3 linked regions of the Struthio camelus genome follow. The protein of the gene in region 3 interacts with the protein of the main gene of each other region in a biochemical or structural test. Links are inferred from orthologs where the notes say so. Each region holds a gene or a part of one and is shown on either strand. Other genes may lie near its edges.

What was found.
Region 1: the proteins of THRB (region 3) and NCOA6 form a complex in vitro, tested with the Homo sapiens proteins (2 studies listed by BioGRID). The link is inferred for Struthio camelus from reciprocal best matches to the Homo sapiens genes THRB and NCOA6.
Region 2: the proteins of THRB (region 3) and TBL1X form a complex in vitro, tested with the Homo sapiens proteins (2 studies listed by BioGRID). The link is inferred for Struthio camelus from reciprocal best matches to the Homo sapiens genes THRB and TBL1X.

The regions. Positions count from the first base shown.
Region 1 is NC_090959.1:622,645-632,856, reverse strand, and holds the start of NCOA6 (nuclear receptor coactivator 6), read right to left. Parts: upstream 4,480-10,212; 5' UTR 4,381-4,479; intron 1-4,380. UniProt on the Homo sapiens protein: Nuclear receptor coactivator that directly binds nuclear receptors and stimulates the transcriptional activities in a hormone-dependent fashion. Coactivates expression in an agonist- and AF2-dependent manner.
Region 2 is NC_090942.1:142,897,775-142,907,665, reverse strand, and holds the start of TBL1X (F-box-like/WD repeat-containing protein TBL1X), read left to right. Parts: upstream 1-5,314; 5' UTR 5,315-5,445; coding exon 5,446-5,452; intron 5,453-9,891. UniProt on the Homo sapiens protein: F-box-like protein involved in the recruitment of the ubiquitin/19S proteasome complex to nuclear receptor-regulated transcription units. Plays an essential role in transcription activation mediated by nuclear receptors.
Region 3 is NC_090943.1:44,271,704-44,281,484, forward strand, and holds the start of THRB (thyroid hormone receptor beta), read right to left. Parts: upstream 3,845-9,781; 5' UTR 3,830-3,844; coding exon 3,502-3,829; intron 1-3,501.

The sequences.
Region 1 (10,212 bases), on a different chromosome or scaffold from region 3:
GGTACTTAAGATTAGATGCATCTTGACAAGAAACTGTTTTATCTTGGTTTTCCAAAGGCCATAAAAAAATCATTTTCAAGTAGCAATCTATTCATTGTGTGTGTTGTGACAAGTTTTTTACCTGAAGTTGAATTTAACCACAACTGAACCAGTCTGGGCTGTCATACTGCACCGGTACTCCTCTACCAGTAAAGCCTCACTGAAGTTCATAAATGCAAATGTAACAAGATCAGGTATTCTTTTGATTACAAGTTCTCAAGTTTCAGTTTGACTGAAAACTCTACCTCTTGTTTATTGCATTTTCTTTCTTAGGCATGTCACAAAAGACTATGAAATTTCACTAAGGTCTATGAAATTCTAAATGTTTTAAAGTACGAAGAAAAATTTTAAGTGACCTCAAACAGCTTAAAAGTAATTCCTTTGAGAGTAGTGTACCTAATGTCAAGGAGAAAATTTCCCCAGTCAAAAAACAAATAAACAAATAAACACACTTCTTAAATGAATACTAAGATGCATGTATTGCTTCTGTTAAAATCAAGATTGTTCTGAGGTCCTCCTGACTGTATAAGAAACCTGCAGTATATTTTCTGTCTGTCCACGCTCTTGGCAGGATGAAATTACAAAAGTCTTTTTTATTGTCACTACTGCTATAAAGAACCACATAGTCAACCTGGTACTTTCGGGTAAACCTATTACGCACAGAGCTACATAGGAATTCATTCATGTGGGAATGGGAAGGGCATCCCAAAAAAACCCTTAGAAGGGACACACCCCCATGCAGCAACCAAAACATGAGATGTTATTTTTGTTCAGTATTTCTCTTAAATGGTCCTTATCCAAGAAGACCGGTAATGCTTTTGCCTCAGGAGGTTCAACACGTACTGCCGTAGTCCCGAGAATACAATTGCTGACTCCTTACTTTCTCTGAAAAAGTCAACAGAGACCCATCAGAATTACCATTTTGGGTCCTGTATCTCATCTCCCATGTGCTCTCTGCTCACTGGCTGGAAACCACTGTATTATACAACCTAAAATTTTCAATGTATCAGGAAGTTACAAGGCAGAATTAATTCTTCGCTTTTTCCTTGCATCACTCATCAAGATGGGAAGCTTGGGAGAATGTGCCTGCGCACACCTATGCAGAACACAGAAGCCTACATTTAATCCAATCTCTGCAAGTACTACCCAGCCACCATTATGAGCAATGGAATCTCATACCAGTTCAGCAGTCTTGGCATGTCATTTATTTAGTTAGTTTTTGAAAGAGTACCTTTAAAATTGTATTAACAAGAGAGAACTTACATAGCAGGCATCTGTCAGTGGAAGTAGTCTAGATCATTCCCTTTCAGACACTTTCCAAGACTACAAACTTAAAATTCAGACCCCCCCACACGCAAATCAATACAGGCAACTTTCTGTCCCAAACTATCAGTTTACTTAAAGACAAATGCATTTAGACAAGGCATCATTCTTCTATCTTTTCAATTTTTGTACAAATTCAACCCAAACCCCTATATAGGGCTATGCTTTGAGACTACTCATTCAAGCTTGTGAAGACGACAAAAGTCCTCTCAGTTCCAAAAAGGTGACAGTTCTTAAATGTTGTAGAGTCCACTAAGCACCTTCTTTCTTACCAGAGTTCTCAGACCAGTTACACTTTTTCCCTCCTATTAATTAGTCAGGAGACTAGACAATTAAGAGTTTCATGAGCTTGACACACCATCTAGAACCAAACCTTAGCATTCAGCTATCGATTTGTACAAACTAAGGAACATATCATGTGGCTCAAATGTTCAATTATTTAAAATATGTAGTTTCTTGCAAAAGAACACTAGTGATCTATTCTGGTGGTGACAGAAGAGTAGGTAACACTGGTAGAGTTAAACATCAAATAAAAGACAAGGTGACCATTCTCTTCGTAAAGCAAAGTTGGTAATCTAGCCAACAGATGGAAAATATCACACCTGGATTTGGTGATGCATCCTCTCTGCCTCAAGTTTGTGTTTGTCTAGAATTATTTTTTCTTTCCATTTCCTCCCCTTAACTTTTCCCATTCTCCATATTGTTTACCCCAATTTCCTCTCTAGCCCAACAAAAACGAGTTTATGCTTGAACACAATTTGTGCAATGCAAGACATTTTCAAGGTTAAGTGATGTTGTTCAGCGGTCTACGTATTAACAGACCTGTACTGTTTACCAGTACCATTTACTATACACTACAGGGTTTGTATTTCTCAATAGGGACCACATGATTTTGAAACAGACACCAACATCACGCCTTCTGCCTTTCAGAGGTATGCTAACGATATATACAACTTCATTATTCCCAATGCAATCAAACTGTTACAGCCATTTTAACTCCTTTATATCTTCAGTAGCAAATCTTTTGCCATTGTAAATCTTATAAATTCAGTGTGTCTATGTAACTTAACTGTGACTACAATTATCATCTAAAAGCAATCAACATAGTATTAGAAAATAATAAAATATACTGTAAAGCTGTTTAACAATTCAGTTATCAGTTTAAAGTATTCAACATCTGCAAGGGTATGCAATATCTGACGGTATTGTACTTAAGAAGACCAAAGAGCAATATTAAGATTGCTTATCAGAATTTAGTTCTATACCCCAATATTTTCAAGTATTCAAGCAACTGAAAAATTAAGACACGAATACTTAGTTTATGAATGTCTGGTTTTCCCAGGTTTCCCACACTAAAAAAAAAAAAAAAAAAAAAAAAGGATGCAGCCTTTTCTCTGCTAGAAGAGTGTAAAATAACAGCATCAGTTGGAAGCCTTTTGTAAACAACTCCTCCCTGCAAGTTCTACAGAAGAATAAGTCTTGATGGCCTTTTTTGAAAGATACAAAATTTACGTTCTTTGTGGTTGCTTTCTCATATGTGAAATACTGAAAGATACTTTTGTTTTATATCTGTAAAGAACTAGCCAGAAAGGCTGCAATGAAAAGTAATTGTGAAATAAGTATCAATATAAGAGGTACTGTCTTTCCTATAACTACAATTCAGATTAGCTTATTCACAGTTCAGTAAAGGTAGTAAGCCCAAACGTGCATGCATCTGGAAGGTGAGGGGTTATGAAGTGTTAAAGACAAAGCTCATAAACTAGAATTTGCAGCCAGCTTTCAAAACCAGAACAAGCAGAGTGACAGGAGAGCTGCCACTTCCCGTTTCCCCTGTTCCCTGAAGACATCAGAAGAAATCGGAACCCTCCGTTTTCTGAGATGTTCCAAAAAGCAAGTGAAATTCAGAAAAATGCAGAAGTCAAACCACGGGAATAAGATAAAAATACCTTTTTTATTACTATTTTAAAGAGATAAGGAAGAATGCAAACAAAAGTTTGCAATCAAAGAAACGTCAGTGCATCTTCACTGACATCCCCAAATGATGTCAGTGCCTGCATGAGCTCAGGGCACGGAAGTTAAAATAAAAGACCATGTCCTCAGTTAAAAAAATAAAGTTCCTGATAGCACTCTGACTGCTTTCTAGTATTAGCAAGAAAGACTTTCCTCCTCCAAGAAATAAAAGACTCTGGCACAGCACAGCAGAATCAGCCAGTTACCTCCTTTACCTTGGAGGGATCAGTCAGTCACAGGCCACAGCCAAAGGCAGACTATTACTTTTAGGTTTACACAGGTTACAGCAGCACAACAGCTGCAGGAAGAAGCCTTTGAGATCTAAGTGCAGGGAGAAACACGGCTACTTTTAAGGAATCCCACCTCCAGGAGCCACCTCCTGACGTGTGGCCGGTCCACCTAAGAGGCTGGAGGCCACGGACGCCGGCAGCGGGCTGACACGGCGGTCCGGACGTGACCGCGGGCCCGGCGCACAGCCTGCTCCGGCGAGGGCTCCCCGCCAGCACCGGGGAAGCAAGGCAGCTCCGCGCACCCGCACGCCACGGAGGCGGGCAGGGCCCCGGGCCGCGCTCCCCGCGCGGACGCTGCTCTCCAGACGAGCCGGCTGGGCAGCCCCGCTGGGGCACCCCGGAGCCTCCCGAGGCCGGGGCCTGCGCGTCCCCCCAGGCGCCCGGCACGGCCGCAGGCTGGGCTCGCCCGCACGCCACGGGGCGCCCCGGGCGCAGACCCCGCCGCGCGGGGGAGGCCGCCGCCGCCGCCGCCGCCGGGCCCGGCCCAGGCGCCGCGCCGCACCGCCGGCCCGCGCCCTCCCCGCGACGGGCTCGGCCTGCTCCCCGGGCCGCCGCCACTACCGGCCCTCTGACATTGCCGGGGCGCCGCTTCCGCTCCGCCGGCCTCTGTCAGCCCCGCGGCCGCGGCCTCGCGCTCCCGCCCGGCCCCGCCGGGGGCTGAGGGAGCCCCCCCCCGCGCCGCGCCGCGCCGCGCCGCGCCGCGCCGCGCCGGCCTCACCTGCCGCTGGTGCCGCTGGTGGCGGCCGCGGGGCCGCCGCCGTGCCCGCTCCGCGAGCGCGCGCGGGAGGGCGGGGGCCGCCTCGGCGAGCGGGGGCGCGCGGCCCCGCGACGGCAGCGGGCGAGGAACGGCCCGGGGGGGGGGGGGGGGCGGCCGAGCGAGGGGAGGGGGCGGGAGGTCGCCGTCGGCCCTGCCGAGCGCCCGGGACACCCACCCCGCAGGCCGGCCGCGGCTCCGCCTCCGCCACCGCCTCCGCGCGGGAACACGTGACCGGCCCCGCCCCGCGCCGCCAGCGCGCGCGTGCGTTGGAGCGGGCCGTGCGCGCGCCCGCGCCGCGGCGGGAGTGGGCGGGGCGCTCCGCGAGGCAGGCGCGCGTCGTCCGCCTGCCGAGGGCCTGCGGGCCGAGGGGGCGCGCACCCCTCCGCCCCGAGAGCCTGGGGGACGTGCCGGGCCCCCGCGAGGGGGATGCTGGTTTCCTCACCCGCAAGAGCCTGGGGGACGTGGTGGGCTCTTGCGAAGGGGGACGCTCGTCCTCTCACACTCGAGAGCCTGTGGGATATGCTGGGCCCCCTGCTAGGGGGACACTCTTCCCCTCACCGCTTGGGAGCTGGCGGGATATGCTCGACCCCCTGCAAAGGGGACACTCATCCTCTCCTCTCTGAGGCCTGGGGGGACATGCTGGGCCCTCACAAAAGGGACGCTCATCCTCTCCCCCTCCAGAGCCTTGGGGACATGCCAGGCCCCTGTGAGGGGGATGCTGGTCCCCTCACCCCCAAGAACCTGGGAGATGTGTTGCTCCCCCCCCCCCCATGCAGGGGTCGCTCTTCCCCTCACCCCTTGAGAGCCTGGGGGACATGCTGGGCCCCCTGCAAAGGGGACACTCATCCTCTCACCCCTCTGAGAGGCTGTGGAGCCCCCATAGTGGGGCCCCCACAGAGGGGGAGGGCAGCCTTTACCTAGCACCTTATTGTGTGTACCCTCCCTCACTTGCCTGCCAGCCCCATGTCCCCAGCACAGACATGCAAAGGGGAGAGTGTTCCACATTTAGAGATGGGGACACTCCCGCTCCATGCACGTGTTCATCTCCACACTGCTGCTCAGGGTGGGGTGGGTTTGTGCCCTTCCTTTCTCTATACACAGGGAGTTTCCTCTCTCACTGTCCTGTATTGTATACACGCCCTTCCAAAGGGAAAGCCTGATTCCCCATGGAGAAATTGTGGACACTTTTCCCTCTACTGAATGTGAAGGGCTGTACGCCTTGTTGAAAAGAGAGACAACTGAATGTCCTCAGGAGTCCGTCCCTGATCTCCCTTAGGGAGACCTTGATTCCTACCCCTTGGAGAGAGCATCTTGGAAAAAGACCATCCTCTCCTTCTCTGAGGACGCCTCATCTTTAAAAGATCCCCGGAGAAAAGCCCAATTCCCACACTCCACTGAGACACTGGGGAATGACCTACCAAGCATAAACATCCTAGGGACACCCTCTCACACATTAGCACACTGAGCGGGATGCTCTCACACAGAGTCCCTTTCTGGGAGACCCTTGCCTCCTCATGCCTTTACGGACTGGTGAGTCACAGAATCACAGAATCACAGAACGGTTGAGGTTGGAAGAGACCTCTGGAGATCATCTAGTCCAACCTCCCTGCTCAAGCAGGGCCATCTAGAGCATATTGCCCAGGATCGTGTCCAGGCGGGTTTTGAATATCTCCAGGGAAGGAGACTCCACTACCTCTCTGGGCAACCTGGGCCAGTGCTCTGTCACCCTCCCAGTCAAGAAGTTTCTCCTCATGTTTAGATGCAACTGCCTGTGCATGCAGATGTTCTTGGGGAAGACCGAGCCTCTTCCACTTAGGGGTCAAGACAATCCCCTCCTAACATGGACCCAGCCTAGACCCTACTCTGCTGAAGCTCTAGGGATTCCTCCTTGTTTGGACAGCTGTGGGGAAGAACATTCCTTTCTGCAGACTGGGAAGGGGTCAGAGATATCCCTCCCCAACATGTATGAAGACAAAAATCCCCCCTACAGGTAAGGTGGCAAGGAGAGTCTCAGCAGAGATCACGGCAGAGAAGTGGGCAAAAAGTTATTTCCCTTTCTCTTTGAAGAGAGTCTATCTCTTCCTCTGGCCACACATGCAGAGCTTCTTCTCTAGGTGTTCCCAAGGGGAGAAACTTTCTGAGCTTGGAGCATGGGAAGCCTCCTCCCTAACTACTGAAAGAAACATCCAACAGTTCTGCATTGCAGCACATGAACGTAGATCGCTGGCGTATCAGGTTAAGCCATGAAACCTAAATTAAAAGCCATTTTTCTCACTAGCGAGAGAAACTGGTGGACAGCATGACTCCTGTTAGATAGCCCTAAATACTGTAGCTCTTAGCCCAGTGCAACTTTTTGCAAGTGAAAGCGATGCGTCCTTCACAAGGTGAAAGGGCAGTGGGAACATGTATGCAGATGTGTTTGACGATGCGGGCTTTCAATAAAGCCTTTCCACATTTGGAGAGATCCCTTGCATCACCATTCAGATGACTGATACTTCACTTGTGATAACTTTGGAGGCTGTGGGCTTTGTATCCAATTCTGTAAATTAAGAGAGACATGGCGCTACTGGAGAGAGTCCAGCGGAGGGCTACAAAGATGATGAGGGGACCGGAGCATCTCTCCTCTGAAGAAAGACTGCGAGAGCTGGGCCTGTTCAGCCTGGACAAGGCAAGACTGAGAGGCGATCTCATCAACCGTGTACAAGTATCTGAAGGGGGAGTGTCAAGAGGATGAGGCCAGCCTCTTCTCCGTGGTGCCCAGCAACAGGACAAGAGGCAGCGGGCACAAACTGAAACAGAGGAAGTTCCATCTGAACCTGAGGAAAAACTTCTTGACTGTGAGGGTGACTGAGCATTGGAACAGGTTGCCCAGAGAGGTAGTGGAGTCTCCTTCCCTGGAGATATTCAAAACTCGCCTGGACACGATCCTGGGCAATATGCTCTAGAGGTCCCTGCTTGAGCAGGGAGGTTGGACTAGGTGATCTCCAGAGGTCCCTTCCAACCTAAACCATTCTGTGATTCTGTGATTCTGTGAAATTAGTAAAAGGTATTTCCTGGATGAAGCTATAAAGAAAAATCAATACCTTTCCTAAAAATTAGCAGGAAACAAAGTTTGAATACAGATAGTACCTTTCATATGAAGATTTCAGACTTTATAAATATCAAGAACTTATATCTTAGTCTACTACTGGGGAGATGGGGAAGAAAGCAGAGAGAGAACTGAAAGATTCAAATACAGCAAAGGCCACTACAGTGAATTTTTTTAAAAGTCCATTTATCTGATTAATGAACAGGACCACAGTCTTGCAGTCCTCTTGCATGTGGGCAGATGTTTACTTCCTAAAAAGACACAATAACACAGAAGGGCTTTACAACAGAGATTTACTCACACCGAACAGCTTGCAAGACATGGAACCGTCCCAGGAATTTGCTCTTTATCCTACAAACCTTTATTAATATGAAAAATGCTAAAATAATATCGAAAGACAGTGATACTGCAGAAATGTCTGGTTTTCTTCCTGCCAGTCACTGCTTTAATCAGAAAGGTATGAGCCAGTGGTGGTAAAGCAAAGAAAGACATGGCAACTATTATTTAAGGCTGATAAAATAATCAAAGGTCTAAAGAGAATATTTTGGGGAAAAAGTAAAGACCTTGATCCTGCAAAAATATGTATGATTAACATTAGTAACTTGAGCACTGACTTCAAAAGGGGATAGTGTTGTCCTGGGAATCTGACTTACTCTGCTCATATCTTTTGAGACAGGTTGAAAACATGAGGAAGCTGATAAAACTGCAAGCTGAAAGACTTCTTTAGTATCTGAGAATTACCTTTCTTCCACGCTTCTCTTCATACCTGCAAGGGGTGCTTCTCAACCCGGATGCATTTAACTTCCTCCTTGTAAACAGCCTAATCTTCCTGAAAAGGCTAATACATTTCACCAACTCTTGCACAGAGTTAGATCACTTAAAAAATCTCATGCTTCCCATAAAACACTGCTATCTTTGTTGTAATTACAAACTTAACGCAAAGTTTTCCTTCAACTTTTTTTTATTTGCTTGTTTCTGTATATATTATCTACATTGATGCAGGGCACATCTTGTACACTGTAGCAAACAATAAAAAGTAGAACAATTATTTTTCAGACTGAGTTTTCAGTCTGAAAACTGAAAGTTTCTGAGGCACAATATTAATATATTTCACTAAGTTCTGCTCTAGTGATCTAGATGCTATAGCTTTCTGATCTGGACTTAAGAAGCTCTATGTAGATAACCTTCCTGTGTCTAATCACACATGGAGGTTGTGAAAAAGCTCTTCCTTCATTTGCAGCTTGGTGTCTCATATATCCATTTTGGACTTTGTAATATGCTTCTCCTGATTGCTTTTTCTTATGCTTCTGCTTGCTGTTGTAAATGGCCAAATAGACACAAACTCGGCATGATTATAATTAATCCCCATTCTATCAAAGAGGTGTAAATCAGCTTTGCCAAGAGTGTAAGAAACTAAGGGAAGGATAGAGCATATATTCAGCTGACTCAGACCTGAAGGGACATCAAGGTGAAAGGACAGGTCTGAGTGAGAAAATCCTGATGAGAGAGTACTGTGGTGAGGCATCTCTGTCCGACGCTGGTGGCTAGAGGAACCAAAAGAGGGTTTTACCCTCCAGTATATTGCAGCTAGTGAAAGACCTTTATCTCATTGGCTGCTAATGCATGGAGCAGGAGACCAAAAGGCAGATGCCTGCTGGTGGCAAGAAGGGAATAATGTGATGTAGAGGACTGTGGTGGGAGGAAAGGGGACTTTCTCCCATTGAACTTGGCAGTCTGAGGAAGCTGTGGGAGGAGCTATACAGGATACTTCAAACCCCACTGCCTTGGCTTCCTGATGCCTTGTATGCACAAGTGGACTCACCTCTGCAGTGATGTGAGCTGTAGGCAGATCTCCAGAAAACATCACAGCTGAGCTGAGTTTATTATACAGTTGGATCCACACTGTGTAGCTTAAATATGTTCAGATCCAGCCTGGCCTCTGTGTACCACAACTGGGACAGGAAATATTTCAGGACAGATGTGGCCAGAACAGAACAGAGAAATGCAGAACAGAACAGAGGAATGTATTTGATATCAAGGCAATCAAGGTTATACTTGCTATACTTGAGTATAGCAATTCAGGTTATACTTCCAATGGATTTTTAAATGACAGTATTTTCAAAGAAAAGATACTGTGCAGAAAAAAGTGACATTTTCATAAGTAGACTCATGACCAGTTTTAGATTTTCCAAAGTTAAATACTGCATAATCAGTTGAACAAAATAATATCTCCTCTAATATTAGTGATTTAATTACTTTTGTTGCCAGTCTGTAACTATCGCTCTGGGATTTTGTTAACCTGAGTGCAGCAAGGAAGAGAAAGATGAGCAGTTGGCTACAAACCTGACAGATATGGTGGTGGATGCACAGGAATTATTATCTCCCTCTCCACTTCTGGGAGATGGAGTTCTGAGAGCCCCAGGGTGGGAAGTCTGTGCTATCCTGGTGGGCTGACTGCTTCAAATTAGCGTAAAGGATTACAGATGTCAAGTAGCTATTGTCATATACAGTATTTTCTCCCTCAAGGTAGGCTCATGTCAATGAGGACAATCTGCACCTAAAAATGTTCTGACCACTGGAGGCCCTTCATTGGCAGTGTTTCAAGTTTTGAGTTCTCCTACTGTATGATCTCTTCTGACCTTCATACAAACATGGTTCATTTTTATATACTACCCTACCGCATCTGAAAACTGGCTCTGCCTCTC
Region 2 (9,891 bases), on a different chromosome or scaffold from region 3:
GGTGGCTGGATCTTTCATGAGATAGTATGCTACCTGGAACGTGGTTGTAAGTCTACATCTCTGGTAATTGCTGTGGATGATTGATTCAGTCTTACTAAAATAGTCTGTTTGGTTTCTTTTTATTTTGTTTATTAATACTTTATGGCCAGAGTGGCAAAACATAGTGCTTGATGCCCGAGCCTGGACTATTAAATAAGACAGTATTGAGAGCCTTGGGACCTAGCAGAGAATCTATTTAGCTATAGCAATGGACTGGAACACACCACTGCTTAAATTTCTGAACATAGCATACTTTTTGGTAGTCCTTCTTTCATAGAATGAAATCTTAGATGAGTTTTTATCTTCCAAAATGTGAATCAGAAGGGCCTCCGCCCAAAACAGTATATGGAATAATTTCCAGCCTTAAAATGTGGCAAATAAAATAGTATACTTTATTTTCTCAATTTGGAACATTTCTTCACAAGCCCGTTCTTCCTTTCTTTTGCACAAAGAGCATATTCATGTTAGCCTGTTTAACAACAAATGAGTGGAACTGGTCACTTGCAGTCCTTTTTGCTTGGGATTTGCAGTGTGTTTTAAGGAACGCAATTCTATGCATATGGAACAGTGGCTTTCATATGTGGTATTTTCCCATATTGTGGCCATTAGCAACCACTGATAAATTTATCCATACCACTTTAAAAATATGGGAAGCCATAGAGAATATTAAAGTGAATCATGACTTTTTAAGCTTGAAGAGGAGGCTTTAAAAGGAAATTGATTAATCACGGTGTTATAACAACACCCTGAAATAGGTTTTTACTAGGGTGAGCAGTATAAGATAGGGGATTAGTATCAATGCTGGAGCGCAGTAGTCTCCTTAAGTCTGTTCTGGCTCAGTAACAGGTTTGCTACATGTTAATCACTGTAAGATTTCTCAGGCTTATATTCATCTTGTCCCTAACTTGGTGCACGCGCATGCACATACACACTCTACAGACATGTACACATGAAACCCTAACCTGAATTTAATTTGAGCTTTTATTAGTTCACTCTCCTGTGGCAGCAAGATGAAACCTGCTTTAGCTACACAGTAAGGAGAAATGATGTTGAGACGTTTCCCCAGAGTTTCCCACAGTTTCTTCTTTCTACCTAGAGGGAGAAAGTAGTTTGCCACAGTTTGATATGAAAGGGCTGTGAAGAGATTTAGTGTATTGCAGTATGAAGAGCCATGCTATGTGCCTATCAGAAATCTGGGTGCTGCAGCCGGGGGGCCTAGGCAAGCATGGCTTTGCGGCACAGCTTCTGACATTCAAGCTACTCCATCAGCCAAGTAAATCCTGAATCTTCTTGGTATGGAAAACTTGCAATTTATTCATTTTAATATATTTTCTTTCTCTTCTCTTGCTATTTCTCTGTGAAAAAATAGGATGTGAGGAAATGGCAACATAGGAATTAGTCAATCTTTATGTAAAATAGAGTAGAATCAGCAATATACAGAAGCAGAAGCGTTATTAGAGCTGCAGCAGAACAAGAAACATTGCCTGTGAACATAGCGTTCAGGTCTCCAGAACAGGTTAACATAATATGTGGCATTAAACATTTTTAAAGAAATAAAGACTACACGTAATATAAATGTTGCGGCATCTTCGTCAGAATTAGATTTTGCAGAGAGTGTAGTGAGGGAGAAATGTGAAGTCAGAGAGAGATTGTTTCCATTTGCTCTTATGTTCAGTTTTCATGCACTGAATTTTATACACTGAATGAAAAATACGAGTTCTCCAGAATAATCCAGCCTTTCATTTTATTTTGCTGCTGTGTCTAAGCGATGAATCTGATAATTCCTTAAATGGGAAATTTGCCAGCTGAGAGAAACCTAGAGGGCAACAAATGGGCAGTGATGACAGATCGTCTTGAATGCTGAGAATGTTGTTTTGATTCCAGACTGTTTAAAAATATATTTGTCTAGTGGAAGGTAATGTTATACAGACAGATAACACAAGAGATTTCCTAGGTATTACACACACCACCCCACCCCCCCAGACACCCCAGCATGTGTATTTTTTTTCTGTAGGCTTAGACGATATAAATTAAAATGCTAAATCTTTCATTAAAAGAAAAATAAAGACAGGACACAAAGCAGTGAAATCAAAGCAATTCTGCCTTAAGGCTGCAGAGATTTCCTTCTCTTCCCCTGCTGTGTCTAGGTATTGCAAAACATATGGCTCACCTTTAGGGGGAGTCTCCAAACAGTGGGAGATGTTACATGCCGTATGTGCTGCAATAACTGGAGGTGCAGTAACAAGGTGAGCTGAGGACACCAAGATGACTGTATTTCAAACTCGTTGCTGGTTTACTGAGGGTTTTTTTTCACATATGTATATAGCTACAATATCGATGTGCTTTGACTTTTATAAGAGTTTAAGCCCTGGTACTAGTAGGCAGCTAAGTGTTTTGAGGAAGCTTGGAAGTGTGCATCAGGGACTCAGGGATGCTGGGTGTTAGGCATGGCGGGGGGAGGAAGAAAGGAAACCTGAGAAGGAGGACAGGTCTCTCTGCGTGTTTCCCACATGCTGTTCTGGCGGCAGCTGAATTGGCTGAACAGGCTATCGTCCCCCACCGTTCCTTACTGCACCCCTGAGATTTAATCGATCACGTAGGCACTCCCTGACCTGAGTTATTCACTGTAATCTAGGTTCGTTTAAACCCTTTTTAACACCAACTCTCTGAACTCTTTTAATCAGAACCATTCTGATCCAAGCAGTTATTCCACAGATACTGAGGGGCAGCGATGTTCGGCAGCAACGTTAAGGGAAGAGTGATTACGAGAAGCAGGGGAATAAGTTTACACCAGTGAAGATGCAGTCAGAACAAGTAGCATGACTGCAGCCAGAAATTGCAAACTACAGAGGATAAAAACTGCAGGGGAATTTAGCTGCTAGGCTTATTGCTACCTTGATAATAAAATTTAACTTTTGATGCCTGTCCCCCGAAATTTCTAAGCAGAATCTCTCAGCCTCTCAGCCCATGCTTCGTGTCACTCAGTTGAGAATTGTTCACGTAGCTCAGCAGAATGGAGAAGTCAAACGTTTGGTCGTCTTTGCTGCCTTGTAAGTTGAGAAGTAAAGCTGTACTAAAACATTATTTTCCTAAATAATTTCAAAGACTAGAACAAAAAGTGGCTGTAACATGTTGCACCTCACTAAAACACTGAATTGCAAAGCCAAACAAAATCTGTAAACTGAGAAGCAAACGGGCTCTTAATGATCCTTTTTTGTTGCTCATATCATCGGTGTAATTCTTTTTTTACTCCATTGAATGTTTTGCTATCAGGTCCTTCTTCTGTTAACGTACTAGAACGGAACCACTCATTTATAATGAAGACTGAATATTCATAAAACCCAGCTTTAGGCATCAGCATCCATATACATATACTTAAACTGGAATCAAAGTTAAGTGGTGTGAATATCCTTGGCATGTTCCATCATGAAATAGAAAGGTTCTGTTTCACTTAAAACAGCACAGTAAACATAGGTATCTTTCTGTGTAAATAGTTGTTCTCGCTTTTCATATTCTTCTCAATTTGTAGAAAGAGAGTTCAGTTCCCAAGATTAAAAGACTGACATAGCTGCTTCCATTTTGTTTTGAATGCGACAGTAGTCACACTTCTCAGATCCTGGGAAAAATAACATTTTAGTACTAACTAAAAGTAATATCACATACTGACTGCACAAAAGCAGTCTTGAAAGCTGACTGCTCTAAAATTTACATGAAGGTGCAATGTTATGTTAGCACAGTACGTGTAGATAAGACTTTAAGCAGTCTGCGTTGTAATTCAGATTATTGTCCTGATCTATATGGCTTTCAAACATACTTCAATTTCTTACTTTCATATTTGAAAAAACAGACATAATACTTGCTGAACAGAGCTAGAAGAATTTATTATATAAAGTTAGTGTACAGTTATCATTATGATTCTAGAACATACTTTACAAACTTAACTATGTCTGAACATAGCATGAGACGGATTATAAAAAATGTATTGGCTAAATCATTTAGGTAACTAGTTACTGCTAGTACTAGGATCCTGACTATTCTTTATGTGTGTCCTTTCACTAAAGTACAAACTGGAGAGTCATTAAAAATATATGAGCTTTATTAGCCTGAGTATCTCTTATTTTATTTCATCTCTTTTTCCATCTCTTAAAATACATGAGAAAATTAAAACAAAGATGGCTAGGTCGTACTGTTTGTGGTATCAGAATTGCATTAATACAAAGAACGTCACATATATTAACAGATAATACTTTAGTCAAATTCATTAAAAGGATTTATCTCAATCTCACTATGCAAATAAAGTGTTCTCATGTATACTAGTCAAGAGTGGTGAGCGTGGTGTCAGTGCAGAGGTATGTATCCCTGTTTACTCCTATTAGGCATATCTAGTAACAAGATATGAGACAGCTCATATCAACCATCAGATTAATCAGATTAACAAATCAGCTGGACTGAAACCTAGAGAAGTTATTTACTGTACCACGCAGGTGCTAATTTTGAAAGTATTCTGTTTTTTTCTGGAATTTCACTTGTACTGCAGACTCTTACGTTATGTTCAATGTGAACGAAGTGTTCAAATACACTGAAATATTTAAGTTGCTAGCCAACTCGAAGGATTGGGTTCTCTGGACCAAGAAGCTGCCAGACCAGTTCTCTTTACCACAAAGTCTGTGTGATATATGGGGTTTTTTTTGTCTGCGTATTTCAAAATGCTCAGGTTTTTCACAGCCCTATTTACTGCAGATAAACTTTTTACTTAATTTAGTGTACTTGTCTAACCAGTGTTCTCAGGTGAATTTTTGATAGCTACACAGTGTAACCTGTTAGTGTATACCATGCATTTTAATTGAGGGAAGGGTTATAAATCACATAGTTTAAGAGGTAGTAAGAATCATCTCATTTAATATAAATAGTTCTTACTACTATAGCTCTGAAAAAGCTAAAAAGGTAAAATTGAAAGCTAATTTGTAGTATAACAGAAGGTTCCTGTGTCTTCAGTCATAAATCTTAAGCTTTGTTATAGCTGCTTAAGCAGCATGAACTCTGTATGATCAGAAAGAGCATCTCCTGTTTGGTATTTTTAAGATCTGTCGGAATTCAATATGCAAGCTTGTGCTATTCCTTTTCTTATTAAGCGCCTTATTTGCTATGTAAGCAGTACAGCAGACACATATAGTTCTAATACAGAGAGATTAACACTGTAAGATTGTAGGATAATTTAGTGAGGAAGGGACCTCGGAAGACCTCTAATCCACCCTTCTGTCCAAAGCAGGGCCAACTCTGGGGTCTGACTCAGCTCCTCAGGGCCATGTCCAGTCAGGTCATGAAAAACCCCAGGAACGAAGAGGGCACAAAAATCTTCTTGCACAAATATTCAGCATCTACTAATGCTGAAGATAGTTACTGACAATGAAAGGTAAGTTTTCAAATAGACATTACATAGGAACATTCGGTTGGCAGATCAGTGTATTGGGTTGTTTCTGACATACTTTCTGGAAGAGGCATTTATTGGCACTTATAAATGCCCTCTACGTTTTTATAGTATGTAACTTTTTAGCCTGCCATGTCCCTCCGAGTGTACAGTAACTACCGTATATTTGCAGTATGACTTCAGTTACAAGTTTTATTCTTAGATGATTCCTTTTTTCTCCTCAAGCATTTTTTTCAGCCTCTGTTAAGAAAAAAAAAGAATTTAGTGCAAGTCTTTAACTATAAAGCTGCTGTATATTTGTCCCTGGCTTAAAATAAAAGGAAGAGCCTGTTTATGTAATAATTTTGGAGGTACTTTAAAGAGATTGTATTTACCTCAAGAAATAAAGAATCATTTCAAATTAGAAGTAGCGACCAGGAAATTCGACTTCCTTGACAATATTGCAAGCTTCTTCTTAAAGCATCTAAATGAAGGTAGTGTCCCATTCCCTGCCTGGCAAACACAGTATCTCCCTTACTAAGTTGATGACCAGGTTCTGTTTTATTAAAAATGACCCGAAGAAGGTTTTCCAGCACTTTATACTTCAAAATGTTTTTTAGGTTACATCTGTTGTTTAGGCTGTTTAATACCACTGCCTTTTTAAGGAGTCTTTGGAAACAGGAGTGTGAAATACTGTGTTTCATGTGAACGTATGACTGACTAGTTTGGGGGTTCATATGGTTTGGGGCAGACCTTGCTCAGTTCTCTTCTTTTGTAAAATATACTAACTGGAAGAAATGAAGCTCAGAAGAAAGCGGCTAGCTTTGAATGATAGAGAAGTTGGCTGGCTAATGCAAAAGTCACTGTCCCTGGAATTAGTTTTCCAGTTTGAAGACGGAGGGAAGGAGTGGGAGGAGAGTGCACGTGAAATTGAGATTGCTGCTCCTGGGTTCACATGAAGAACTCTCCGGCTCTCCAACAGCTTAGCTTTTAATAACCTGTTAGGTATTTTGCCAGACAGTGGAAACACCTGTGCTTGTATTTTCAGAAATCAAGTCTGGTAATGTCCAAGTAGCTGCTATTCATTCACCCCCTTCTCAGATTGCTGGTCAGCCTATGATTCTGGGAAACGCTAGCTGTCTCTCATCTTTCTGCTTCTTAATTTACAGCTAAATCAGTTTGGTTTTGATCCCTGAATAACTGTGTTTCAGTCATGAGCTCCATTGTTAGATATTTAAGTAGTCACTCTTTGGAACTGAATTTGTACTGATATCCATCTTTTCAGGTTAAAAGATGAGAGAGTGTGTAGATGGATAGAACAAGACAGAATGGGAAGATATGTAAACCTGAACTTTTTACCATGTTTTAGTTGTTTCAGAGTGAAGTGGTGTTTTTTTGCATGTTCTTAGCAGGTTAGCATTTCCTGAGGAATTCAGCTGACGGTAACTGGACTTATGTAAAATTTCTTTCTAGTTTTTGTGTGCTTATCCTAGTGCTTAGCTCTGAATTTAGAATCCATGTTCTCCCTTGGTGAGTGCAACAAAATCCAAAACACAGACAGACTTCTTTCCCGCTCTCCCTGTTGTACTGGAAATTTTCTTTTATGAGCTTTTTCTTTTAAAAAGCTTTTTCTTGTACAAATAAATGAAAAAAAAAATAGAGCATGGGTTAACTTTACCTTGTAGTATTGTTTTTAAGAGAATTCATGAGTGATAACCATCAGCTTTAAAACAAGTAGATTGCTTAGACTCCTATAAAAATACTACAGTAAGTTATTTCTTATTGTATTGCAACATCCAGGGGAAATAACCAAATAAAACAGTGTTAATACTGCAGCTGTTCCTGATGATTCTAAGCCAGAATATGGATTATTGATTGCAGTGAAATGGGCCTAAGAGGAGAGCACCTTTTCAAAACCCCTTTTCTATATCTCTCTGTATGTTACAGGCCGTTACCAGTTTTATCGCATATTATTTCCTGTCCCTTACCTTGGGATAGAAGAAACTTAAGTGTATGACATCCTAGAGATTTTTTTTCATTATTTAAAAGAGTAATAGCATTTTATGAGAATTTAGTATTTTTACAGTGTCTTCATTTCAGCAGTGGGACGCATTTGGGAAGACACCTGCAGTCCCAATGACTTCAGCCCCTGCAGAGGTCTGTTTATTGGAATTTATCTGAAAACAAAAGCCACAGGGAGAAAATGAAAGAATAGCTTACATTACACCACTGGAAACTTCTGCCGGAGAAATAAAATTTTGAACATTTATTTGTAGCTTCATGAGAATTCTTTAGCAGCTTGCAGAATGCATAGTTCTGTGGCAGTGCGCTGTTCAACTGATGCCCATCTCCATATAGCCCAAACCTTTTTTAAAATTTCTTTTGTCATCTATCATTCATAAGGATATACAGGAAATTAATAGTATGCAGAAATTTCTGCTTGAGAGCTAAGTCAGACCATCTGCAGAAGGGATACCCCTAAAACTAGCAATTGGTGCAAACTTTCCAAAATTTTTGGTTGCCTGGAACTCTTTCAATAATTTTTCCAGTGTTTGCACATTTCCTTGTTGTTTTTGGCATCATACAGTTCCCTAGTAGGTACATCTCATACGCATTTTCTGCCTGATAGCTCCAGCATTACACTTCGTGGGCTAATCAAACAAAGAACATTGTTCAGTACTGGGAAGAGATGAATGTGGTGTTTGTTTCTTCTTCTCCCCGCTCTAAATAATGTAGATTTTCCTTTGCAAAAATATACTGGATAAGTAACGAGCCCAAAGTTTGACTTGCGAAATATTGGTAGAATGGGTCCATAGTACCAGTGATTCAGTCGTCTGTCAGCCTGATAAATGGATTAGCGTAAGAGGTGTTCCAGTGGGGAAATGCAGCCCATAGGGCTTCCAGCTAATTATATTTAAGTTGTTTAGTACTGCTGGGAAGCAGCATCCAGGCAATTACTGAAAGCTTTGATGCAGCGTGCACCATTAGAGTGTGTGTTCAGAAACTCATTACCCTTTCGGACTTGTGTTGGATGGATGCTAGGAAGCCGACATGAAACAGAGAGCAGAAATCAATACCTAAGAAGACATTTTAGTTAGCTTCTGATCCATTTCCTGATTCAGCAGCTTCCAGCCTAAAGTATTTGCTACAATTGGTATAATATAAGGGGGAAGTGCAACTTGAGTGTGTTAATTATTGTATATATGCACCTCGTTGTAATAGCGTGTATGCGGAGTGCCACCAGGCCAAAGTTATCAAGGGCCTTTGGGGACGAGCCACTCCCAGATGCGCGCGTGGCCTGAGCGTCCAAGGTGCCTGCCTTATCTGTTTTTGCAGTCATTTCTCTCCAAGCCTGACCTTGCAGTGATTATTTATGCCTCTGCAACATCAAGATTACATTACTGCAGCGTCTGTCATGTCCCACCTTCAGAGTCTTTTGGAAAGTACGGCTAGTCGAAAATGAAGCTGATGCTACTGGCGACACGTATTAAACCCTGTTTAAGAAAGTTGTGCTAGCTCTGTCTTTGCTGCCTGCCGCACTTCATGTTCCCTATGCAGCTCTGTGAATATGTACCCGTTCTGTGTCGCGCATGTGTGGGAAACAGCAACTCCCTTCACGTACCACTCTTCAGTTGAGTCCATCCAAGGTGTGCATGCTAAAAATAATGCAGTGTTTGCACAACTGGAAGCCAAAGACTCAAAGCTCGTGTCTTAGGTTAGAGTGACAGGGGGCAAAAGTTGCATGAATCTAACTGTTTTTTTTTAAAACATGCACTTACTTTTAAATCAGTTAACGGTGATTGTTAGGGCAATGTAGAGGGGGCTACGTTACTTCTTCCCTTCTGTTTCTTTTGCCTGAGGTAGGGTAGACAAAATAGAGGATTTACAGTTCAGTGGTTCTGAAGGGGGATAGTTCTTTCTCACCTACCTGAAGTATTGCAGATTTCACGTTTGGATACTTTTCCCTTTTTTTCCCTGTCACAACAATCCTAGATGCACTGTGCTTTTCATCTCGTATTTCATAAGGTTAAGCAGAAATCTCATGATGAGTTACTATGAAGAGCCAAGTATTTCCTTTTTTAATCTGGACTTGTTAATTAGAAAAATACCATTTGCTTTGCCTGAGGGTTCGTAAAATAAATTCTGTGCTAATTGATATGTGTATATTTCTCTGATAAATAATTACCAGAAAACTATGAAATGCTGTTTTAAGCTGCAACATCCATGAATCATGTGCGGTGAAAAATACTCTTACTGTACCAAGCATTTTCAGTTTTGGTACCTGCCTTGGTTACTGTCAGACAGCTGGCTTACTGCAAATTCATTGCTATTGCCGAAAGTAGCTGGGCTTTCAAATAATGGTAGAAAACTCATGTGTCTGCAGTCCCTGAAACAGTTGTGTGTGGGGGACAGAACATCTACTGCATTGAGCTACACAGCTGAAG
Region 3 (9,781 bases):
AATGGACTATATGCTCAATTTACACTCACTGCTCTGATAAGGAGACATTTTGACATAACCTCCATGCTGTATTTTCTTAGCTGTTCAGAAAATACCCTAACGTTTTCACACTGCTGAGACCTCAGTTTGGACTAACTCACTAACATACCCTAGCAGTTATACAGTATGTATTCTTAGCTGCATGTAAATTGCCAGAGAAAATACAAGGAGAAATAATAATGACAATTACAATTATAATAACAATTATAATAATTACAATTATAATAATTACAATTATAATAACAATAATAACTTTGAAAGCCCCACTCACTCACCTACCATGCCAAGGGCCCTTAAAAACACGGCCTTAGCCTCCCCTTAAACCTGGGGGGGGGGGCGGGAAAAAGAGATAAATAGGTTTGAGTATCTTGCACTGCTGTAGCATGACTCAAGAAACCTGCGAACCCTTACTTCTGGGGGCAGCTTTTAGTTACTTAGGGCTCCATGGAGCCTGAAGGTAAAGCCTAATTTCATAGACATCAGTGGGCATTTTACAGTTAAGTCCGTCCATGAAACAACTGTACAAAGGGAAGTGACCTCCAACCAAAGCTTTAATTTTGCACACCTACTTCCTCTGTTGTCCAAAGGGCCACAACACCGCGCACATACCCAGAGCGGGGATACTGAGGTTTCTGGACCTCTGCAACTATTTCTCCTGTAGCTCTCTGGGACAGACCTGGGAATAGCACCCTCTTTCTCATGAGCATCAGCCCTGTTCTGCCCATTAGATCTGACAGCCTCATACAGAGACAAAGTATATCTGGCTGTCATTTTTTTAGGACCAGGGTCCAGAGCTATTTCTTTAATAAAATAGTAAGCTCTTGTAGGAATGTTGTGCTCCTACCTGTTAATAATGTATAGTACAGCACAGAACATACAGAACAACAAGATGCCAAACTAAAACCACACTTCCATGCCTGCTTTTCTGGAGCATAGTTTTTTCCCTTAATATTCAAATCTTTCATCAAAATTTGTAACTGAAAATCAGGAAATAATAGTTTTAAATGTACAGTGATATCTGGAGTAGCTTAAGTGTTTTCTTGTAGTTTTGGAACATCTGGCTATACTTTCTAAGTACTGATTTTTTTCCCTTTAGCAACACTCACGTTGTCTGAGTCTTTCATTCTCATTATTTCCTTAATTCTCTCAAAGTGACATATAGATACAGAAGTAATTAAACTCCCCTTCGTAAACATTAGCTTTTCTCAGCATATAAAACAATGTTTTTATCTTCCTGGAGGGGAAACTAAAGAAGATTTTGATCCCTTTAAAACTAGCAGAAGTTTTGACATGAAGAACCTCCCTGTGTTACGGTAAAGTACAATCTGATTTGAACAGCATGAATGGTATTGAGATTATCACAAGTTTCAGGGGACTAATAGAAATACCAACTGCAACAATCAAGACTCCTCATGGACACCTGCTCAGGGACTTAATTTTGCTTTAATGGGCTATTACCAAGGCTTCTCTAACAAACTCCCTCTTCCCCCCCCCCCAAATCAATTCTGGATCAATACAGGCACACATGCCCTGTATAGAGCCTTCTGTTCTTGGGACGGGATTAAAAGATTCGTTAGTTTTATGATAGCTTGGGTAAAAGATGGAAATTAAAAAGAAAAAAAAAGAAAGAGAAGATGCACATGTCCCACACTGTTTAGATTTATTCTGCTTAACAAAGTCAGCATTTGCAAAGGTTTGACAGAAGGGACGCAACTCTTTATGGATTATCACAGTAATGACGGCTGTAAAGAAGCCGAAGGAACTTTGCTCAGTCTCTGTGGATGATCAGTTAAAAGTGTGCTCGAGTGACTGCTCCCAAGAAAATTCTCTGCAAATTTTAAGTGAAACTGAGGTAGATGAAAAACATGAGCAGGCAAACAATTTTTAAAAATAACTCTGTATTCTTTCAACAAGCAAGTAGAAAAACTGTAAACAGAGCATTAAATGTATCAGATGTCTGAATACTGGAATAACTCATTTAAAGCTCTGACCTAAGTACAGCAATTATCATTTAAAATCCTTTCGCATTATGAAATATATATTCCTTCACTGACTTCGCAATAGCAAGTCTCCATCTTCTTGAAGTTAATCCTGTGTAGCAGTTTTTGACCAAAATGACACATGGGAAAAGTCTATGAAGAGTTATAAATTTATTGATTAAAATCCAATAGTATAAAATTAGCCTAAAGAAGACTTTAGAATGCTACAAAATACAAAAAAAGCACATTATGCACAACTACATTTAGTCTACAATTTGATCATGTTCTCTACAGCTTCCTAGAGCAGGATTATTTTTCTGATAGTCCCTTTATTATGAATACTGCTCAAAGTACAAGATTAAGATACTTTCTACTGAACATACAGTTTTATTGCACCAGGTGCTAATGAGCGTTTCCTTCACAAGGGAAAATATTTCAGTTTTCTATGTTGTTAATATGATTAAACAGGCTACTTTTGACTACAAAGGCACTTTAAAAAAAGTAAATGGTGTCGTTCTCTGTCTAGCTAGTTAAATCAGATTCATTTTGTTTCTGAGTAACTGCATACAGGAAATTTGGTCTTAAGAGAAAAAGGATATTATATTGGTACAACAGACTGTGTATTTTTGTTCTTTATTCAAGTGACTTTAAGGGAATACACTTTTATGGAGAACACATACTCTACATGTGCCAGTTTGATTGTCTGGCTTCAGAACAAGTAACACTGAGAACATTTTCCAGTGGTGGTTAGTATTTTTTTGAGAAGTGATACCTGCTTTGCTTACTTGAAAGCAAAAGAAGAAATTCTGAAAACAAGCAGTGATCTAATCCTAAGGGAACAGATACCACTCTCTGATTATCTCTCACAAACATACTGATTAGATCAACTTTTTGGATGGAGAAGAGTCTTTACTGCAGAGCTATATTCTCGACTGTCCTATCTTTTTGGCTTTGCATAATCAGAAACGACACGGTTTTCATTTACAAGACAGCAACTCTATTAAATGTAATCATTTTCCCATACATACTTGCAGTTCTATTTTCAACATATTTTGCCTGAAACTGAGTTATTCAGTAAAGAGAATTCACATTTAGTGATAATGAGGACTCACACAGACTGTTTGTGTGGAAGCAGAAAACAGATTTAAGCTGAAGAATATTTACTGACGACATTTCAGAAGAGAAACTTTCTTATCTAGCTCACTGATGTTCAGTAAATGGACTTAATAGCCACAAAAAGCAGAAAACAAGCAATATATTTGCAAACGTCCTTTACAAATTAAGAAAAAGTGCTTGGAAATCCTCATCGTTCACAGAAAAGCTTACAATCACCTAGCAACCTATGTTACTGCTGCTTTCAATTTTGAACAGGCAGCCTTCACATTCAAAGATGTATCTGAGCCAAGTGATGCAACTGTAAGTTTAAAGCAAAACAAAAACAAAAACACAGATTTTTTTTGGTATTTAAATAAATTGCCCCTACCTTTCTTCTGAGAGTACGATGGCGACTGCACTTGAGAAAAAGTAGGTTTTTCTTCGGTGAAATATTCAGGTTGGTTGTACTGATTCAGGGCCATGTCCATGTCAGAGTACTCGCTTTTAAACACGTTTCCAGGGTAACTACAGGTATAAGGCTGATTCACCGCCCAGGCCTGTTCCATATATATGTTGTTACCGTGCAGGACCTGAGCATCACAACTGCTGTAACCCTGATTATCCTCGATATATGTGCAATAATCAGTGGACTGCATGTAGCAATTGCTCCCAGCAGCTGGGTGCACTTCATAGATTTCTTGCATACAGTAGTTCATTTTGTTACCCTATCTCGGCTCCTACTTTACGGGCGCACACACACACACACTCGCACACACACGCACACACACACAGGCATGCATACACATGGAACGGGAAAGGAGCAATGAATATACAACACCAACAAAGTCGACTGCAAAACAGCCCGTTTCACTTTGGAGCAGCACCTGATGTGCTAAAATCCTATTTATATTGGCATGGCTTGTGAACTCCCCTGCCAGTCAAACATATTGGGAAGCAGATTTATGACAGTCAAAGGTCTTAATCTGTGACTGTAAGTTAATTCCAAGGGAAGATGGCAGGCAGGCAGCAATGGCCACCAGACAAAGGAGCGGCGTCCCGACAACCCTCCTGTTCCACTGTTTGTCCGCAATAATCGTTTTATAAACCGTTTCTAGCCTTTTGCAATATGATTAGAAAATGATTATTAAGGCGAGGACACAGTTATGTCACTGTAGTTGTCAACTTAAGTGTGAAGCATTATGAAGACTGCTTAAGAACTCCCAGAGGGGATACGCTGAAAATCCTAAAATCAATAATCCTGTTTTTCAGCATTAAACCACAGAAAATCCAATAGCACTGTGTTGATGACCCAAACAGTAGTCTAGTTTTACAAAATTTAGCAACTTAATCTGTCATCAGCTTTATTGATTTTGTTTTACAGAATTACATGCATGAATCTCCCCAGCCTTCCACACATATACAATCCTCCCTACTGCCTCTTAATGCATTTACCGGAAAGCAGCTTTTTTAAAGTTCAGTGATTTGGGGAGATAATTTCTATTTAGTTCAACAGGTGGGAAACTTCAAAATGACTTGATTTAATCAGCAAAAAGGACACTGCTTAAATATTACCAGCAAACTAATTGTTTTGCTATTTTGTTTCATGATCTTTTATGTTTCAGTAACAAAGAACTTTTAAAAAAAGTATCCTTTGCATCAACAACCTGAGCACAGCCAGGAGGTTTTCTTGCTCAGTTTGGCTCTCGTATGAGCTATGTACATTTCAATGCCATTAAAATAAAATACTATATGATCTTATAACTGCTTTACACACTCCAAACATCAGTGTGGTTAATATATCATATTTGATCGCCCATTCTTTTTTATTTAAAAGGATTTTTTAATATTATAATAGCTGCCTTGCTTTTACTAGCTAAAATATGTTTTCTTTGCAGCACAGCATAAATAGGGTAAAACTCCTGTGAAATCAGTAACAAAATGGTATCTCTCTTTAATGTCTGTTCTTATTATTAGGAAGCAGAATTACTGATTTAATAATGAGGTCTTAATTTTGTTCTTTCACTCATTTTAAACAACACTCGAGATGACAGACTGCCAAAACTACCTGTATGTTGGCCCCTTTTCTTCTTGGCTTTTAAGTATACCTCTAGCAACCTAGCTGAACGTAAACTCCAATGGTCCTCAAAATTCTGTGAAACTCATAAGACTCAGCATTTAACATGCACATATTTCTCCCGAGCTGGTATTATCAAATGCTTCAGACTAATATAAAGAGCCCGTAAATTAGTGTTCTCTCTTTTTCTAACGCACAACCATAACTAACCTTTTTAAATAATGAGCACTGGCAATTAGCATCTAACATATAGGCTAAGAGATCACAGGGTAACTGCTTCTGAGGACTGGAAGTTAAATTTTACTCTTGGATTATTTTTATTTTGGTTTCCTAACTGTAAAAGAAGCATCTTTAAAACCAACTCTTACTACCTTGCCTCACCAAATAATAATGCATTTGGTAAGTCAAAATGATCTCCATCGAGACCAATTTTACTAAACTCAATGAAGTTACTTCCAGAATGAAGTTATTGCGGTAACACTCTTGCAATTTAAAGTAACAACTTACTTCATTAAGAGCAGTAAGTATTTACTGAAATCCCAGAAGTGAAACACAAATGAACCTTCATTCTCAGTGTTGTTTTTACCGAAGACCTAACTCAACAAAATAGCATTGTGAAATATATTGTGATAACGCACACATCGAAAATTAATTTTCATTTCAGTTCAAGTCTATGATCTAGATTTTCCAAACAGTGATTTTGTCTGAGATAAAAAAGCATGTCTTAGGCAAGATCTGATTTTTCAAGAATGGCTGCAGCGCTTCATAAAAATCATGCCCCTGTCTCAAGGTAAGTAAGTGCTCAGTTACTGAGAACCTTTATAAGTATGGTGATTTGCTTGTGCACTGCATTTTTTATCATCAGCTACACTTACTCATATATTCAGAGACAAAAAAGCCTATTTTCTTTTACTTTCCAGGAGAAAAAAAATCTTCTATTAAAAAACATCATAACAAACTGAAAACAAATGTCAGAAAGTATTAACTAAGATCTGCCAGAAATGCTTTTAGAAAGAGAGAAGTGCATTCTCTGTTTAAGATTTGTAATGAGTTCACAAATATTTTAAATTAATGTCACGCTTTTATCACAGTTTCCTGCTGTGAGAATAAGATCTGAACTGACATAGATTTCCTAAGAAACTTTGCAATGCTCGTTTACACAGAACCCCCCAAAACCTACCTGTTTATGTGACTGGTTGGTAATGCTAGTACATACAAATGTAATGTCGACACAATCGTAACCTGCCGAGCTTAATTCTCCATACTCCCCAGAAAGAAAACATTCTACAGGTAGGGTAAGTGGACTTTCCGTTTACCGCAGAACGATCTCCACCGCAGCTAACAGGAATTTATGTGCGAGCTTGCATACAGGCGAGGCTGTATTTCACAGGTTAGCCCAGCAGAACAGCCAGGTACTCTTACCAGAGGGTGATCTAGTCCCAGAAATTTGTCTTTCACTTAGCAGGTCACAATTGCCTAGCACATTGCAGTTTTTATTTTGTTTAGGACCCCTTTTTATTGAAGAATAAAAAGGAATAGATGACCTCGAGGCAAAATTGCTAGTTTGGTCTACGTCAGTCTCCAGGGTGACACCAGTGCTGGAGAGGCAACTGCGAGGAATGGGAGGACTCCAAATGCACCACGGTAGCTGTACCCTGGGGTCAATTTTTGAGAGGACTGACTCGGTAACTCGGTGACAAAGACATGACATCGCCCATTTGACGAAGAACATCCTCCAGACTAATGGAGCCCCGCGCCAGGGAAGAGGAAGAGAAATAAGCGGAGCCACGGAGAGCCAGGCTGCCGCGCAGCTCGGCGGCAGCCGCGTTGTCCTGGTGTCCGCGGGGGGCTGCCCTGCCCGCGTGGAGCCCGAGGCTCGCTGGGGACCGGCAGAATAGGCTGCTTTCCGAGCGAGAGCTTATAATGAGAACGGACCCGAACCTCGCAAAAGGCCACCTCTATCGGCCACAGCCCTTCCCTGCGCAGCACGGAGCCGCCTCAGAAAGTGCCCGACCGCCCTTCGACTGCCGGGTGGTTGACACCACCCAAAAAAGCTTTTGGGAACCAAGCTGGAAATTTTCACCAGGTCCTTTTCACCTTGTGGATTTGTTTTGCCAGATGAGGCAAATTTCCTAAGAATTTTCTCTCCTCTGGTTCTTCTTCCCACTTACTTGACTTAGTTTCGTTATCCAAAAACTAAAAAGAATTGAGGATGTACGTAGACAGAGCAGTCGCAGGCAGCATGGTGCCTGGCGGAGATGGTATCATGATACGGGACTGCATGTGAATTCTTTTCGGTTCTAAGATCAACTCCTCAAACATTGTTTGTTTTCTAATGCTATGTCAATAACACTTAGAAACGTGTCGTATGTACTACTTTTCTCCGAATTACTGCAATGGTATCAGGAAATTACATTACAAGAAACTGAGGAGAATGAGAAAGTAAAGTGGATGAGAGTCTTTTCCGGCAAAAAATGAATGATAAACACTGCCAGGCAATGAGGTTTCCTCACCTGGAACATCCAAGAGGTTTATAGCACTGCAGATTGTTGCTCCCTTGGAAACAAATCAGTTCCAAAAACACTGCAAAGATTTAGTATCATTATTAAAACTGAAATATTCCTGGAGTATTTTCAGTTGAACCTCTGAGGGTCCTCTTCCTGTATCACTTTGCATTAAATCATCTGGTAAAAGACAGTCAGATGGGGTCTTCACCTAAAGTCCAAAAGTGGACTAGAAAATAGTGCATACAATTGTTGTTTCAGTCTTGTATTCTGACTTGAATACTGGAGTCTTTCACTGCTTTCAGCACTGAAGCATCACATTCGGAATTTCAGTACTTCTCAAGTACCTGACTGTGCTAATACACGGAAATTAATCACTGGCAGAATAAAACTTCAGGTGTGGACAAACAGGCCAGTGATAAAACAGAAACTTTGATAGGGAGGCAGAAGAGGATCCAAAGGCTGCATCCCTCACTGTCTGAGGTCTCAGTTTATTGTTTTATAAAACCAGAAGGTATTTGCTAAACAGGAGTTCTGAGTGCCCCCCAAAGGTTTTGAAATATCCACCTCAGAGTACATCAGCAGTGAGTGCAACGAAGCCAGTGAAGCAGAACTGCAGTCAGGCCTTGACTGCTTGAAACCAGATTTCTGCAGGGAGACCGCTTTGTAACAGCACATACACCTCTTCGGGACTCGTGTTTTAAAAATCTCTGATTAAAACTTTTGATTGCAAACAATCAAACGCCCCACAAAGTTGCACTTCTCTTGTGACTTCGCCTGATCAAAAAAATAACAAAATTAACCCGCAGAAATTTTAAGACAAAGCAGTACTCCTATTTGGATGATCCCCTTGACACAATACCCCAAACAACCCAGGTCACTGACACACACAAAAGTAGCGTTATTCCACACAGTCCACCCCTGTTGTGTACATCTGCTACTTGTGTGACTGTGCAAGTGGCATTGTTACCCAGAGGAGTTATATTCTCCTGACTGTTTCTAAATTGTGCACCTCTGGTCTATGGTATTGGCTACGTCCATGTTGCAGGTAAGGCCCCTACACTATTTTTAAAAGGTGCTGCAATATCCATTCGGGGGAGGTATTAAAGAGCATTCAAATGATATAGGGCAGAGTGGAGTTCTCGAAGGACTAAATGGAAGGATTTTATGTTGATTGTGTTTATGCTTATACATACAGATGGAGAAAAATACAGTATTTAGTCAAAAACAGTTCTGCACGTTGGAACATGTAGCTGCAAGGATTAAACATACCTTTCTAAATTCTAGCAATTGCGTACACTCATATTGTCAGTTCCTAGTTTATAATAGGTATTTCTACATGTTACAAAATAGCTGCTTTTTTTTGTATTTATGGTTTTTCTCTTTGCATGCATTCCTGCTATGGGGAAAAACATTATTAGATCATTGATCTTCAAGAAGAAAGCAATTCTGCACTTTCAGGACTCATACCACATAATATGCAATGCATTCCAGACAGTCAGTATCTCTGGGCATCATAAAGACAACACACTGAACACTGTAACAGCTTTTGAGCAGAAGTATTAATGTGGCTTTTGCAGTACACATCATTTGTCAAACATAGGATCACCAAGCCCATTTGATATTATGAGTTACCAACTCCTGTCAGTGTATATATTTGCATTACCTTACTCATTTACTTTATGCCCTATGATCAGAACAGACTCAAAATGATCCTTCCAAAATAATCCAATGAGTCATGCAAAAACTTATTGTTTGCGGAATCTAGATACCAGCTTATCACATCAGTTCTGACCCTCATGGATAGCACAGTGATGTAGATTAAACTAAGAAAGAAAACTCAACTAAGAAAGAAATTCCAAAATAACACCAAACGCATATAAGAAGAGAAAATGATCTCTACGTAATATTCATCTTATTTTGAAAACTCCATTTGTGTCTAAATCATGAAGTAATTACATTTATGCAGTTCTACTGCGGTAAAGTTATAATAGCATTTGACAGATTGTGGAGTATTTCTCAGGGGAATCAAAGACATTAAAAATTGGCATTTTGTCTATAACATGTTTATTGTAGCAAGTGCTACAACT